2 linked regions of the Rhinolophus ferrumequinum genome follow. The protein of the gene in region 1 interacts with the protein of each later gene in a biochemical or structural test. Links are inferred from orthologs where the notes say so. Each region holds a gene or a part of one and is shown on either strand. Other genes may lie near its edges.

Region 1 (7,950 bases):
TGAGCCTTTAGAATACGCACGTTGGCCAGGCCCCTTCCATGGGCATGGTCCTTTACGGGTTGCAGACCAATTTCACAGCCAAGTGTCCTGTGCAGGAGGCGGGAGAGCAGCGGCCCTCTCTTAGCCAATGGTATCAGGTCCTGTCTGTGAAATGCAGGGACTGTGCTAAGCGTCTGACCTACCCTGTTATCTCATGGGACCCACATATCGCCCTGCCGCTCACGGAGCTGAGAGCTGATGCCCAGAGGAGCAGAGCAGTAGCCCAGGGTCACACAGTCAGGCAGAAGTCAACTCGGGGGTTAACGCATGGCCAACTGACACTCAGACCTGGTGTTGTTTACCCACGGTGCCCACTGCCCTCCAGATGCGGAGGCAGCCCAGAAAGAACAAGTGGGGGTCTGAGGCTGGCCACACAGTGGATTTGAATTAAGCCAGGGCAAGCGCCAGCTCTCCTGACTCTGAATCCACGGTGCTTTCCACTGCCCCACATCTGTGGGCAATTACAAGTCTCAACTCTTCTTCCCACAGAGGAGGGAGGGCTGCCTGAGCATGGGGGAGGGGAGGATGCGGACCAGGTGGGTTTCTTCCCCACTCCAGACGGAGCCAGGGTCGGGCAGACCCAGGAGCAGGTCAGGCTGCTGCTGAACCTTCTGCTTCGGACCATGCTAGAGGCAGGCGCAGGCTATGTGGGCGGATGGAGATATGCTCCCCTAGGACCAGGCAGACCGGGGGCCTAAATACCACCTCTACTGTGTGACCCTGGGAAAGTCACTTAGCTTCTCTGAGCCTCTGTTTTTTTGTCTGCAAAGCAGGGGGAATCATGCTGATTCCAAAGAGCTGCTGTGGGGATTCCAAGGCATGTGAGGTCCCAGGCTCTGCACCTGGCACAGAGTCAGCACTCAGTGACAATGACCAACAAGTGTCGTGGATTCGGGGACCTCCAGATTGGAGGCAGGGGAGGACTCTTAACTTCAGAAGATCACGCTAGAGGCCTCTGTGCACCTTGGGATCACAGAGGCAGGCAGGGACACTCTTCCCTGTTTGACATAAAAAAATGCATTCAGGAAGAACCGCACGATGTTCTGGAAGGGCCTCTGAGGGAAGACAGAAGGCCTGGGTTCTCGTCTCACACTTGGGAACAGAAAGTCCTCAGTGAGTCCCTCCTCCCTTTCCCCAGCACATTTTCTCAGCCCTATTGCCCACCTGGGGAAATTGGGGACAGAACACAAGATGGGGAAGCTAGGGGCCTGATCAACCACTGATGTGCAAACAGAACACGACTAGCAAGACAGGGCCAAGCAACAAGCCTCCAGCACAAAGGGCACAGCGAGCACTTGGAGAACCTGGGAGGCTGCTTGGAGGAGGTGAAATAGGGAGAATCCTTGAAGGGAAAGTGGAAGTGATGAGGAAGAACGAGTCCACAGACAGGATTATGCAAATTCCTTCTGGGAATCCTGGGCTCTGACTGGAAGGAATAGGACCACAGGACCAAGTGTGGAGTGATGGGGCAAGGAGAGCACTACCTCCCCATGCTTTGCCACTTCCTTCCTGTGTGGGACAGTTTTGTGGCTGCTGTGAGCCTCAGTTTCCCCACCCATAAGGCAGGCGTAAAATCAGTCCCTGCCTCTGGAGTTGCTGGTGAGTGGTACGCGAAATCACACTTACAAAGCTCTCCACACCGTCCTGGCATGCAGTAAGTGTCAATCAGTGGCAGCGCGGTTAGGAGTTTGGGCTTTCTACTTGGGAGAGTCACAGAAAGAATCCTGGTCCAATTCATGTTTTAGGATAGAGTGGAGAAGGGGCAGCGTCCAGAAGGAAGGAGACAGCCAGGAGGCCTGAGCAGCTGCCTGGGACCAGGAGAAAGGGCCCAGCGGCCCACCCCCCTTCTTCACAGAGGGGCCCCCAGATCTGATGGCCAGCAGGGTCCAAGACCCCCAGCCCTAGTTGCCTGAACATGGCCTGCCAAGTGCCAGCCCCCTCGCCTTTGCACTTTCCCAGCCGCTGGGGGTTTGGAAGGACATCTTAGGAATCTGGAAAATTTGCAAATCCATTTAAATCCCCAGAGGTTGCCTGGCGGCCACTGGCCTAGAGCCAGACAGATTCGTAGGGACAAGGCTTAGGTCCAGGGACAGGGGTTATGGCTCTGAGGTTCCCTGGCCCCTGCTAGATCCCGTTCTGGTGTGCCCTGCTTGCCATCTCCCAATTTCCTTCTCATGCTCCTCCCTACTCGCCCCATCCCCCATAGGCACTGCTGTGCTTTGGAGGCCCCCACTCAGCACCCAGAAACCTCTGGGGTTTGTTTGATGAGGGCAGGGGGCAGCAGGGTTGAGGAGGCTGGGGCCACCCTCCCCAGACGCGGACTGAGCACGAGAGAGGAAAAATCTAGTCCCTCCAGCGCCGCTGATGTCCCCCGCCCATAGCCTCCAGCCTCCTCCCATCTGGTTTTGTTAAAAATATTTTCCATTTTTGACCTATCCAAGAAGGCACAGGCTGGAGTTGGGGACAGGACAAGGAGTTGGGGATCACCCCTCTACAAGCACTTACCTTGCTGCTGATACCTTTTGATGTGCACAAGGTCCCGGGCTCTGGGCTGTCACCCCCTCCAGGAAGTCCTCCTCACTGCCTCTCCTGTTATCAGAGAGTCTTTGCCGGCCCGAAATGGGGGCAACAGCTAGATAGGAGAGCAGAAAGGACCGTGGTAGGTTCCCGGAGCCTTGGGAGAGGGGAGGAAGTGGGGGGCTGCAGGGGTGAGGAGTGGCCTCACGCCCAAGGCATCCTTCGGGAGGAGCAGGGTTGCCAGGAGGGGCCGCCCTGGGTCTGGCTGTCTGTGTCGCTCCGCACTGGCTGCTGCCCTGCAGTGCTGGTCAGAGCGGCCCCAGCGCTTTCCTTCTCGTCCTCCTCCTCTCCCACTCCAAGTTGCTCAGAGAGCGATCCTGGGTCCCAGACGGGGCGGGCGGGCAGGGACTGCGGGCTTCTGGCAGCCCCCAACGCTCACACCACTGCCGGCTTCCCTGCCCCCCCTACTTTGGGGGAAAGGCTGCAGGGCAGCCTCTGATTGGCCCAGCTGAGAGAAGGGGGGCGGTGGGGCGGGGAGGGTGGACGCGTGCGTCTGTTTTCAATTTCAGCTTTTTTCCCTCTCTCTTTCTTTCCCCCCAAGTTTCTTGTTTTTCTTCCTCTTTTCCCTCTGCTTGCTCCCTCCCGTCGCCTGCTCTCTCAGGATGTGAGGGGATGTTTAGAAATTCCACAGCCCACGCCAGACGCTGAGTCACTTTTATTAAAGAGTGCCCCAGCCCCACTCCACTGATGCCCATCTCAGGTAGCAGCCTCCACTTACCGTGGCACCTGGGAGCAGGTCCCTTCTCTGTGCCTCAGTTTCTCCATCTGTAAGGGGAGGTCTGATCCCTTATACAGTTGATTCAGTCAACATTCATTCATTGAACAGCATGTTGAGCACCTACTAGACACTGCACTGGGTGTTGGGGATGCAGAGTGAGTAAGACACAGTCCCTGACCTCACAAGTGCCCAGGCCGGTGGGAGAGACAGACGGTGCACAGGTAGGCACTTGAGAGGAGGCAGGCATCTGAGAGTGGAGCTAGAGGGTCAGCTGACTGAGGGTGGAGGGAATCAGAGAGGACTTCTGAGAAGAGCTGACTTAGAAGAGATGGAAAGACCTTCCAAGATTATCAGCCACTTCGCAGAAGAAGAAACCAAGGCCCAGCGGTGAACTGGTTCAGAGAGGAAAAGAGACTTGCCCAAGGTCACTAAGCATACTTCAGGTTTCCAGACATATCCCTTTCTATCATCTTAAAGCCCCTGGAACCCCAGGAAAGGGTTATTTCCCCATTTTATAGATGAGGCGATTGAAGCCCAGAGGAGTGAAATGAGTTTCCCAAGCTCACACAGCAATGTCAGAATTGGAGCAGAATTGGGTCTCACGTGTGGCACGGTGGAACAGACAAGGGAAGGACCACATTACAGTATAGACTGGCCCTGCTATCCTGCCTTCTTCCTAGGTTATCCCTTTTCCCGTCTCTCATTCAGTCACTCAACAGGTGTTTCCGAGTACCTGTTAGGGTCCATTTCTACCCTCCTGCCCTCCCTCCCCACCAGGATCTCCTCCAGGACCCCGGCCAGACCCTCATCCCTCACTCCACCCCTCCTCATGTCCTCAGATCAAAAGGTGTCGCTAGCCACAAACTCTTGGCCCCTACACGCCACACAGCATCATTTTAAAAGGACTTAAGAGTGGTGAGTTACCCCTGGCTCCCACTACTGTACACACGGGAAACTGAGTCCCAGAGAGGGACAGAAAGGTATCCCAGGTCACATGGACAGAGCCTGACTCTTCTCAGGGCTCCTTCCATCCTGCCCTCTGCTCTTCTGTCTTTGCCCTTCTTTGCCTCTATCTTTGCCTCCCCCAGGGCCTTGTTCACAGGGCAGGGGGTTTGCTTGAGCTGGGATTTCATGCTAACCACAGTAACCTCTCTTGGCAGTCATTTCTTGGTCTTGTCCTGGGGACTGCACAGCAGAGCAACTGGGCTGGGCCACACAGAGGGATAACGGTTCTCAGACTGGCCCCAGAGCAAGGGGTGGGGGCCATGAGAGCCTCCCAAAAGAGGGGCTGGCCCAGCTTGGTAGCAGCAAAGTCATAGGGGAATACGGGGGACTCCGAACCCAGAGGGTCAGGCCATATAGGGATTTCTTGTGCCCAAAACTCCTTTGGTGTTTATAAGTCCCTTCCTAGCATTTGCTTTGGTCATTCACCTCCAAAGTCTTGGCCCAACTGCTGGGACTAAGACAGCTCTGTGACAGCAAGGAGGCATTGCAATCCCTAGTCCTTCCAAAAGCTAGTCTGGGAGTCAGGAGACCCAGCTGTGGACTTGTTGTGTGGCCTTGGATAGGTATTTGTCCTCCCTGAGCCTCAGTTTCCCCATCCCCATAACACATGGGAGGATTCACTGTGCTGGAAGGCCCTTGGGATGCTCTGTCTGCAAGTTCCTTAGAGTTGGACTCTGGCTAGGAAGAGGAGGCTGGTGGGCCCCAGGGCAAGGGGACAGCTGGGGGCCAGAGATGCAGCAGAGGGGCGGGGGTGGCTGGTGGTGGCTCCCCCGGGAAGCTGGCGGCCGCCAGTTTCCGGCCAGCCCAATCTTCCGGCTGGCCCATCTGGAATCACTTAGCCCCTACTACCATTAACCCTTGGCAGACACCAGTGCTGTTACACCTCCTTTTAGCTGAGATGGGGCTGGGGGGGTGCAGAGCCATGTGGAACACAACAGGGCATTCTCCGAGGGCGGGACGGGTGAGACAGAAGGGTCATGACTGACAGGGCAGGTTTGAGAACCAGAGACAGAGCTGGGTTCAAATCCTAGCTTCTGTAGTTCCAAGCTACGTGACCTTGGGCAAGTAAGTCATTTAAGCTTCTGAGCCTCAGTTTTCTCCTCTGGAAAATGGATAATTTGAGGAATGATTCGTAGAACTGTTGCCATATGTAATGCACTTAAAGGGCTTACTCAGTACAGTGTCTGGAAGTGTAGGATTGAAATAGTGGGTTTCATTCCAGCAGCACCCCATCACTGTGTGCCCCTGGGCTGAGCCCTCCTTCTCTGGACCTCATTTCCCCCTGTGCACTTTGAAGGGGTGGGCAGTGGGCAGTGCAGCACCTCTGCTCTGGCATGGCCAGGAGGAGCCATGAACAGTCTCCCACCTGCCCAGATGCCGGGAGCCTGGTCCGGCCTCAAACAATCCTGTGTTGGAGGAGGCTGGGCTGAGAGTGGGTGGGCATGGCGTGGAGTGTGGGAGTCCTGCCTGACGTAGAGTGGGATATGGTGCAGAGGCAGAGCGGAGCTCTGTGCCTTGGGGTCCAGCACTTCCTCCCCACTGTGTAGCGGCACGTTCAAGCTGAGCTCTGATGTCTGTAGTTCCGACCCAGCTCTGCCTCTTCCTCGCTGTGGGTCCTGGACAAATTACATGATCTGAGCTCTCTCAGCCTCAGTGTTTTCAGCTATAAAATGGGGATACATGTGCTTACCTCACAGAGTTGTTGAGAGGCCTAAATAAGTGATGCACAGAAGGCATTTTATACAAGGAATGCAGCAGAGCAAAAAGATCCACAACAGGTGACGGAGTCTCAGGTGTCTCTGGGAGCCGCTGTCATAGCAGCCCTCCATCAGGGCAGGAGGAAAGCTCAGCCCACCCCTCATTGTACAGCCAGGATGACTGAGGCCCAGTGATGGAAAATGACTGCAAGACCAGGACTGGAACTGAAGTTTTTGTCTAGACTCTCAGGCCCATGCGCTTCCTGAAGGAGGGAACCAGGCTGAACGAAACCACCCCCCAGCCCCCCACCCACGCCTGACAGAGCCGGAAGCCACAGTTCTCAGTGGGGTGGGTGTGGGGGGAGAAGGGGTCCTGAAAGGGCGCCTGAGTGGGAGAATTCCCAGTAGGCCGGCTCAGTTCTCACTCAGGCAGGGCCAGCGGCCACCACATCTGGCTCTCCCACGCTCCCGGGACTGGCCCCTCCACCCCCAGGCTCCCCAGGCTCAGGCCGAGGAAGCAGCACACGTCTACCCAGGCACCATCAGCACAGTCATGGTCAGAAGAGTCCTAAGAGTGAGTTCATTATACAGGCATGGAAACTGAGGCCTAGGGAACAGAGGGGACTTGCCCAAGGTTAGCAGAGAGAGAAAAGTTAGCAGGACTCCTGGCCCCCAGCTCAGTATCCTTCCACCCTGTACACCCTGAGCAGGTAGGTCCTTGTACTTGCAGCCGGGGAGCTAGAAGAGGCCCACAGTGGGAATTGCCCTTCCCCTCCTGGACACTCAGCATAGTGGCTGGTTGTCGAGTTGGGCAGAGGGACTAATGCGGGCCTTTAGGCCACATTCCTGCCCTAGATAACTAGGACTGCTCTTACTGGACCAGACTGTGCCACCAAGACCTGACAGGGTCTCAGGAGATAAGGGCTTCGAGACTCTACCTACCTCGGCCTGTCCCCAGCCTCCAGCTGGCCTCAGCCTCAGCGCCCCAGGGAACACAGCCTCAGTGCCCCTTCTGGTACACAGATGGCTCAAGGATCATCACAACAGCAGGACCCTCTGAAGCCACAAATCTCTCCACACCAGACACACTGGGTCCCAGAGAAGGCCAGAACTTGCTCAGGAGCACATAGCAAGTCTGGAATGAGGCCTCTGACGCTGACTCCCAGGCCGTCCTGTTCTTGGCACCATTTCTCCACGCAGCAGAAGTTCACTGAGCACCTACTATGGGCCCTGCCCTGCTAGAGCTCACAAGCAAACACCAAGGAAACCACAAATGAATAATAACAAATTGTGATATATCACGAAAGGAAGAGAACAATGGGCTGGGTAGATGGGCATTCTTGTTTAGGTAGACTAAGGCTTCTCTAGGGAAGGACTACTTCTACTGACACCCCAGGTTAAGAGGCCACACACAATGCTGGGACAGGAACAGTGTTCTAGGTAAAGGAAAGAGCATCTGCAAAAGAGTGGAGGCCAGAAAGAGCTTGGTGTGCTTGAACAGAAAGAAAAGAATGGTTGAAGCCCAGAGAGGGGACATGGTGGGGTACAGGCAGGAGAGGTAGTCAGGGGCCAGGTGTCAGGGCCTGTGGGCCCAAGAGGACTCTGGCTTTTATTTGGAGGGTCGGGAGGGACCACTCCAGCATTTTGAACAGGTGACTAATGAGATCAGGTCACTGAGGTGGAGAACGGGCTAACAGGGGCAACACTCTCCATCTGAGAGTCTACAGGAATGCACCTGACAGGGAGCTGGAACTTCCGGGCCCCAGCCCGTGCTCGACCACTGACTCACTGTGTGACTTTCCTTTCCTTCCCTGGATTCTCTATCTCCTGTCAGACACAGTGCTTCTTTGGATAATTACATTTTGTCCCCTCTGCTCCCTAAGCGGCAGTGTGCAAGTGTGTGGGGTGGAGAAA
Region 2 (7,480 bases), on another chromosome or scaffold:
GGAGTCAGACACTGCAACCAGCAAAGTCTTCAGGCTGGAATCATCTCGGACCATCCTTCCTGTCTTGTGAAATGACAAAAAAAAAAGTGGAATGAGACGCCAGGTTCAAAAACTGCTGTTCCAGCCCTACGAAGCAATGAGTCCTCCTGCATCTCAGCTTTCCAACACCAGTCCTCATTTAATGCCCAAACAGAGCTGTGACTTCTCTGTGACTTGTCTGTGTTTTTAACCTGCTACAATTGATACCATTTTAAATCTCTCTCTCTCTCTCTCTCTCTCTCTCTCTCTCTCCCCAAGCCTCACAAAACCAGTCATGTGTCAGGGAGGTAGTCAGATACCTTCAACCACATTTCCTAACACACAAGCTTTGAAAATCTTGAATATGACTTCCAATCTCAAATATGATTTGATGTTGAAAAATTCAAGTTATACCCACAGTTTCAGGAGTACACACAGTGAGGCAGGACTGTACCTATAGTTAAAAAAGAGCAAAGTGAAAATATGGCACACACACAAAAGCATCAGGAAAATACGAGGCCCAGGCAGGAAGGAGACACGGATTCCAGTTCTGGAGAGCCTACTGTCTTGCCAGGGGATCTCGGCCTGATCACTGTCTTCTCTGGGCTTCAATATCCTCATCTAAAAGAAATGAGGGGTTTCGGCTATCTTGAAAATCTATTCCAGATGAAAATGCACTGATTCCTTGAAATAGCCAATATAAAGATGAACTGATAAATATGAATTTTGAAGATGCTTTTTCAGAGAGCCCTTTAGATTTCTTACTTTATAACATAGCCAAAAAACAAGAAATATAGAGAGTCTTCTTGCATTTCTACAGAACAAATTAGAGAGGAAGGAAACATCTGAATAGGGGACAAGTGTGGAGTGGCAATATGCTACTGAAATACAAGGAAGGATTGGGCAAGAAATAAATTTACCCAAGAAATTTTTCGCTGATTCAAAGCATAGCTAGCAACCACCACGAGACCAAAGCAAGAAAATTAATAATGCAATATAATAAAATATACACGTACTAAATTAAAAATAAGTGAAGATCAAGTATTTCTTTAGGGTAGACTTTGGTGCAAGAGAGCTTCAATTATGAGGCCTTTTTTTTTTTTTAATTTCAGAGACTGCTCTCCACGAATTTCCTTACAAGAACAGGGAGAAAGCAGTCATACACACTGTACCTTCATAATAATCCCATCTGGACACCCTGTAATGTTTACAAAACTCGTTCAGACATTAGCCAGGGGAAGCCCCAAACAATCCATGGGGCAGGTGGTTGTACACTCATCCTCCGAATGCCATTACCTGAGGACGGAGGGAGCTGGAGAGCCAGTCCAGCCCTGAATCCAGCCCTGAAGTCTGGCCCTGGAGCTTCTTCTGACACCTGACCTGATTCACTCTTCTCTGTTGCAGGTCACACTGCCTCCCAGGTCCTCAGGAGAGCCTGTTCAAAGCCTGCTGAGGACAACTGTGAAGGGACATGAGCACCCTCTGCTCCTCATCCTGCCTACTGGGCTGTATCGCTGCCCCAAGGCCGATGTTTCTGTTCCCAGACAATCATGTTTTCCTGAAAAGTTTTCCCTGAAACCAAGTTCCATCCTCAGACAATAACTCACTTCCCAGGTTTCAAACATCACCTCCTGAGGGATGCTCTCTGTATAAAACAAGCAACATTTTCATACACAGCAGGGTATCACCAAGGACCTTTCCACTGCGGGTTCAAGACCCGAACGGGCTCCTAGAAGGCTGTGAGGACGAACCCGCGGCCAGGACTGGGTGCTTCTGCTCTTTCACTTCTCTCCCTCAAGTTCCCTATCTGTGAAGTGGGACCGTCTCCCCGCTGCCCAGCCCCTCCCCCCAGCGGGAATACCACCAAGGGGGAACGGCGCTTTCAGAAAGCTCGGTCACCAAAACGCCAGGCGCAGCATTATCTGAAAAAGCGAAGCGAGAACACAGGGCGGTGGGGGGAGAGCCGGCGCCCACCAAGCACGAAATAAACCCCCAGGGAAGCGAGCGACTTCCCCGGGAAGAGGACGGTCCGCTGGAAGGACGCCGGCGAGTGGCCCCCTCTCCCCGGGTGGGAACTTTCCCCAAAAGCGGTGCCCTCGGCCCGGAGGCCCCGCGCCTCGACCTCCGCCCGGCGGCCCTGCCCGCTCCCCGGCCGCCGCCGCTGCCCTTCGGCCCGGCCCCTCGGGCCCTGCAGGCCGGGTTGGCCCCGCTCCGTGCCGGGCGCCCTCGGCACACACGCCCCCTCCGGCCGCTTCGGGCGGGAGAGCCGGGCCGGCCAGACGGGACCAGCTCCGGGAAGGGCGGGCCAGAGATGGCCTGGAGCCCGCGGGGGCTTCCACGGGAAAGCTCGGGCACCACGTAGCCCGCCGGCCGCCCTATGGTGCGGGGCAGCCGAGTAAGGGGCTCGGTCGCGAGGCAGGCCGGGTTCCCGCGAGCCCTCCAGGAGGGGGCTCCGAGGACTCCGGCCCTCGCCACCCCTCCGAACCCCGCAGGCGGGCACCGCGGGCAGGTGCCGGGGATGCCAGTCCCGCCCCGCCCTCCCTCCCTCCGGCTGGGCCCCCTGCTGCTCACCTGGCCCAAGCGACACAGCAGCAGCAACGGCGGCAGCGCCCAGCGAAGCCGGGGCAAGCGCCGAGGTGGCCGCGCCTCCCGCGCCGCCGGCTTCATGCCCCGCGCGCCCTGGAACGTGCCCGGGCCGCGCGAGTCGGGCCCCGCCGTGCGCCCGATCCCGGGCGCCCTGCTCACCGCCTCCAGCCGCCGCCTCCGCCTGCGCCTCCTCCAGCCAGTCCGCCTAGTCCCCGCTCCGCCCGCCCCGGGCTTCCCCGGGGACATGGCAGCGGCGGCGGCCACACGGCGGGGCCCGGCGCGGCGGCCGCGGGGGAGATACGTCCCTGGGCGAGCAGGGGCTTCGCGGGGCGGAGCAAGCGGCGCCCACCCCCTGTGCGCGGCGCCCGGATCGCGTCTCCCGCGGCCCCGGCGGCTCCCGCTGCCTCCTCCGCGCGTCATGCGGCTCCGGCTGCAGGGAGCCGCGGCGAGCGCTCCCGCCCTCCCTTCCCCTCCCCCTCTGAATATTCATCGCTTCCTCCCGCCCCGCCGGCCCGGCGGCGGCCGAGCCCCGCGGCCCCTCGCCGCCCTCCGCTGCAGCCCCCGCCCCCGCCCCGCGCGCGCCCTGGCAGCTCCCCTCCCGCGGGCAGAGGAAGCGCCCCCGCCTAGCCGCCCTCTCCGCCAGGCCCTCCCACATTCCTGGGACTTGGGACCCGGGACGCAGCTCCGCTACTCTCGCACCTCGAGCCCGCACCCCTCGGTACGGGCGCCCCAGCCTCGGGCCCGCTCCATGGCCTCGGGTTTGGGTCACCAGATATTAACCGAAATCCCTGCCGAGGGCACAGCCAGGCCGGCGTGAATACAGCAACCCCGCGAAGGCCTGGTTGACCCAGCTTGTGGGTGGGCTTTGGGTGCTTGAACCCCTATATTATAGGAGATATGTGTCGTGTTCTCCCCGCCCCCAGCGCCAAGCTAGGGAAGCAGAGAAGTGGCGTTGGAGCGGGTCCTGGGATTAGGACACCCGCTCTAGTATATGGTACACCTGGCTCTGCTAGTACTACTCGCTGTGTGATATCTTTTCCTCATCTGTGAAATAAAGGTCATACGAGTACCGGGCTAGAGAGACTTGAACTATCACATGAGATAATGAGAGGAAAAGTCCTAACCATCAGTCCTGACACAGAGTGGGCCTCAATAAACGTTAGCTCTTCTGGCAGCTTTCATCACATACTCAAAGAAGTCCAGGACCCTAAGGGGTTAAAGATTCCTGCAGATGTTACTATTATGCCCATTCACAGAGGAAGGAACTAAGGACCTGGGAGGCTGAGCCAGTTGCCCAAGGAAAAGTAATGAGAGATAAGGCCAAACCAAAGGGTGCTGGGGAGGGAGAGATGAATTCCAACCAGGGGGAGAGATGACACCTGAGCTGGGCTTTGAAGGATGGGTTGAATTTCACCAGGCAGATTGAGGGGGGCAACATGTCAGGAAGTGGGAGCAACAGGCAAAAAAATGGCAGATGGATGTTTCAGGCTTGGCCTTCTGAAAAACAGGGAGTGGGAGTTTGAGGGGGGCTCATATTTAGGGGAGACTTTGAAAGCCAGCATAACGAGTCTGAGCTGGATTCTATGTGCAGCCAGATGACCAACACTGCCTCCAGACACCACAGTAGCTCAGGTTCCCCATCTGGGCTATGGGGATGTACCTTCACTTAGAGGGTCTAAGTGGCTCCTACCAGACCACACACCCAAGTCAGCGGAGAAGGTAAGGAGACCTCAAGCTGTTGACTTCTACACCTTGCCATCATTTGTTTAAATATGATGGAATTATAATTCACAAGGAATTCTGATCTTTCTTGCCTCCTCTCCTTCTTGGGCAGAGACAGGTGGTTTGAAAGGCGTTCATATCCACGATGCCCAGAAGGAAGGAAAGGCAGTACGGCGGGTACTGCCATGTCTGCCCCGATACTCAGACCCTACAGACCCTATAGATCCATCCAGGCTTCCATGGCTTCTTGGCTTGGGTCTGCGAACCACTCTGTAAACTTCAGCGTGCACTTCTATTTTCTCCTAGATGAAATGTATACCAGTGCTGAAGTCTTGTTTGGAACCGGATTTCTCCACCACATGGTGATGAAAGAGAATAAACAGCCTTTTCAATAAAAGGAGTTAAGACCTGAATAGTAAACTACCTGTTCATAAACAGATCACACTGGATTAATGACCTAGATGAGAAAAGAAGTTAATCCCGGGAAGGTGTGGTGAAAACTCCCTGAGGGCAGGGATTGCGCCTGTCTCCCCATGGGTACCCGGCCTCACCTCACTCTGTGCCTTGCCCCTAGATATTTATGCCATCGCGTGCTTGTATAAATACATCCAGGGGTAACATGATATGAAAGTTCATTTTTCTGCCAGGATAAATTAAGGAAGAATCATTCACTTTGCAAAAAAATTGAGGCTAGATTTCAGTTTATAGGTCTCTTGCACAGATGCTACTTCCCCTGGAACTTCCCAGATGCCCCAATCGTGTGTTGGGTGCACTTCCCACTCCATGTGCTCCTAGCTCCCTGTGCAAAACGTATCTACCCGCAGTGTTGTAATTGCCTGTTTACTTGACCATCTTCCTCCCTGGACTCTAAGTAAGCCCCTTGAAGATGAGGCCTGCATCTTATCACTGCATGCCCGGCACATAACAGTCACTCCAACAATATTTATGTAGTTGAATTGAATACATTCCTCTGAATTGCAAACTAAGGTATTATATACATGCCAGTACACACACAAACACTCACAAACACACACACACACACACACACACCCCAAATTCCATTTGCAAACAGCTTTTCAGGGATAAATCTACTGTGCAAAGTTCAGGGCACATTGTCTTTGAGAATATATAATAATATTTGGCCTTTTAATCATGTCCACCTTCAGCAAAAGCTAGATCTTTTACGGAATGTAGGACCAAGTGCATAAAAAACAAAAGAGCCAAACCAAGAGGTTGGAGTGGAAGGTTCCTGGACGTGTTCCAAAAGTGCCTGACGGGAATCACCTGGTGCCTTGTTGTAATACAGATTCCCATGCCTTTCCATAGACTGTGGAGGATAAGGCCTGGGAATCTGTATCTTTAACCAGCTCCTTGGGTCATTCTTGCTGTCAAGCAAGATTGGAAAACACTGTTCATGCCATGACTGGCCTGCATTGTGTCCCTAGCAGCAACAAAGACCATTGATAAGGTACCCAGGTGCCCGGCACTACACTAGATACTTTACATCCATTATTTCTACTCCTTACAACAACCCTGTAGAATAGGTATCATTATATCAACATTTTACAAACAAGAAAACTGAGGCTCAGAGAGTTTTAGTTACTGACACAAGGTCACACAGCTTAAGAGTGGCAAAACCGGGATGAAACCATGTCTTTCTTGCCATTTTGCCATAGGGACCCCCACCTGACATTTGTAGATAAGTTTGTATAAAGTCCTCTATGTATTGGCTGTTATTATTACCTTTATTATTACTCTCCTGAGCCTCAGTTTTCCCAATTTTAAAATGGGAAGGGACAGAGGGTACAAGACTTTCTACTTCATTGTCCAAGAACTGGGAACAGGCAAGCAGCCATGTTTAATGGCACGTCCACCATCCCACCAGGAGGTAAACCTTGAGGCACCAGCCTGGAACCAGGTCACCAGCCCCACAGGGAGTCCATTCAGCTTGGCAACCCTCAGTTTATTTTAAAAGCCACCATTAGCAAACCATTCTCCAAAGTCCTCCTAAGCAGAATGGAATGTTTCTTGGGAGTCTGATTAGCTAATGTTGCAGGCATGGCTGCCCTGAGACCTTCCTGCCTCACAGATTTGAACTGAATCAGAATGAAAAGGAAGACTTTTAGAAAGTTCTTTAAAAAAAAAAAAAATAGCACTTCATCTTTATAATAGTAACAGGATGTTTCCTGTGGACTAATAACTGGGCTGTGGTTAGAGTTCCATGTTTGTCCACCAGACCTCAGTTCCTCCCTAAACAGAGCCTTAATCACCTGCCCTGCAGAGTCAGGGAGTGTCTTAGCTGTGCCTTTCCAGTTTCTTTCTTTAAACACTTGCAACATTAAGCATTTTCCTAATTTGTATGGGTGTGTGTGTGTGTGTGTGTGTGTGTGTGTGTGTGTGTGAGATAGGAAAGAGTTTGACTTACAAAGAAACAGTGGCATGTGACAGATTTTCAGTGCAGGAAAGAAAGCCCATTATTGTAGCCAACTCAGGGTCTGGAGAACAGAAACAGAACCATTGCCCTCAGAAGTCCCCACCCTTTCTCCAAGTTTAGGCGCCCACAGGGATGAGCCCACTGGCCGCTGTGCTCACGGCTGTTAGGTAGGTCTGCAGTCAAGGTCCCAGTGAACATGCAGGTACCTTCGTGTTCTGGCAGGACAGACCCAGGACCTCTGTCATAGGGCACCTGGAAACACAGGGAGTACGTGACAAAGAGACTTGGGTCCTAGGGGACAAGGGGCTTTTGTCCAGGGCTTGAGAATGACTTCTGCACAAAGACCAGAAGTGGCAAGAGGAGGAACAGGAGGCAGTCAAGCCTGCAACAGAAACATCACCTCGAACAAAGAAACGGCTGAGAGGTGTAAGGACAAGAGGGAGAGTTAGCAGGAGGCCCGGAGTCCCAGGGCTTCTCGGCGGCTGAGTCCTTCCAGGCTTGTTAAAAATAAATTAATTTTGTTCAGGTTGAAAAGAAATGTTGTTTTTTTTTTTTCAGGTTGAAAAAAAAAATCTTAATCACATTGTGCTGGATATATAGACCACCTGGGTAAGAAATTAGGGTAAGACATCAACTTGCAACGATTGTGTAGTGGAATCTCACTAGTAGGGAAGAACATACCCTGCAATCTAAATAAGCAAATAAAAAATCATATGTGGC

What was found.
Region 2: of the proteins of PDGFRB (region 1) and PTPRJ, one has a biochemical effect on the other in vitro, tested with the Homo sapiens proteins (2 studies listed by IntAct). The link is inferred for Rhinolophus ferrumequinum from reciprocal best matches to the Homo sapiens genes PDGFRB and PTPRJ.

What each region holds. Positions count from the first base shown.
Region 1 is NC_046307.1:22,396,381-22,404,330, forward strand, and holds the start of PDGFRB (platelet-derived growth factor receptor beta), read right to left. Parts: upstream 3,006-7,950; 5' UTR 2,545-3,005; intron 145-2,544; 5' UTR 1-144. UniProt on the Homo sapiens protein: Tyrosine-protein kinase that acts as a cell-surface receptor for homodimeric PDGFB and PDGFD and for heterodimers formed by PDGFA and PDGFB, and plays an essential role in the regulation of embryonic development, cell proliferation, survival, differentiation, chemotaxis and migration.
Region 2 is NC_046294.1:13,428,293-13,435,772, forward strand, and holds the start of PTPRJ (receptor-type tyrosine-protein phosphatase eta), read right to left. Parts: upstream 3,017-7,480; 5' UTR 2,851-3,016; coding exon 2,590-2,850; intron 1-2,589. UniProt on the Homo sapiens protein: Tyrosine phosphatase which dephosphorylates or contributes to the dephosphorylation of CTNND1, FLT3, PDGFRB, MET, KDR, LYN, SRC, MAPK1, MAPK3, EGFR, TJP1, OCLN, PIK3R1 and PIK3R2. Plays a role in cell adhesion, migration, proliferation and differentiation.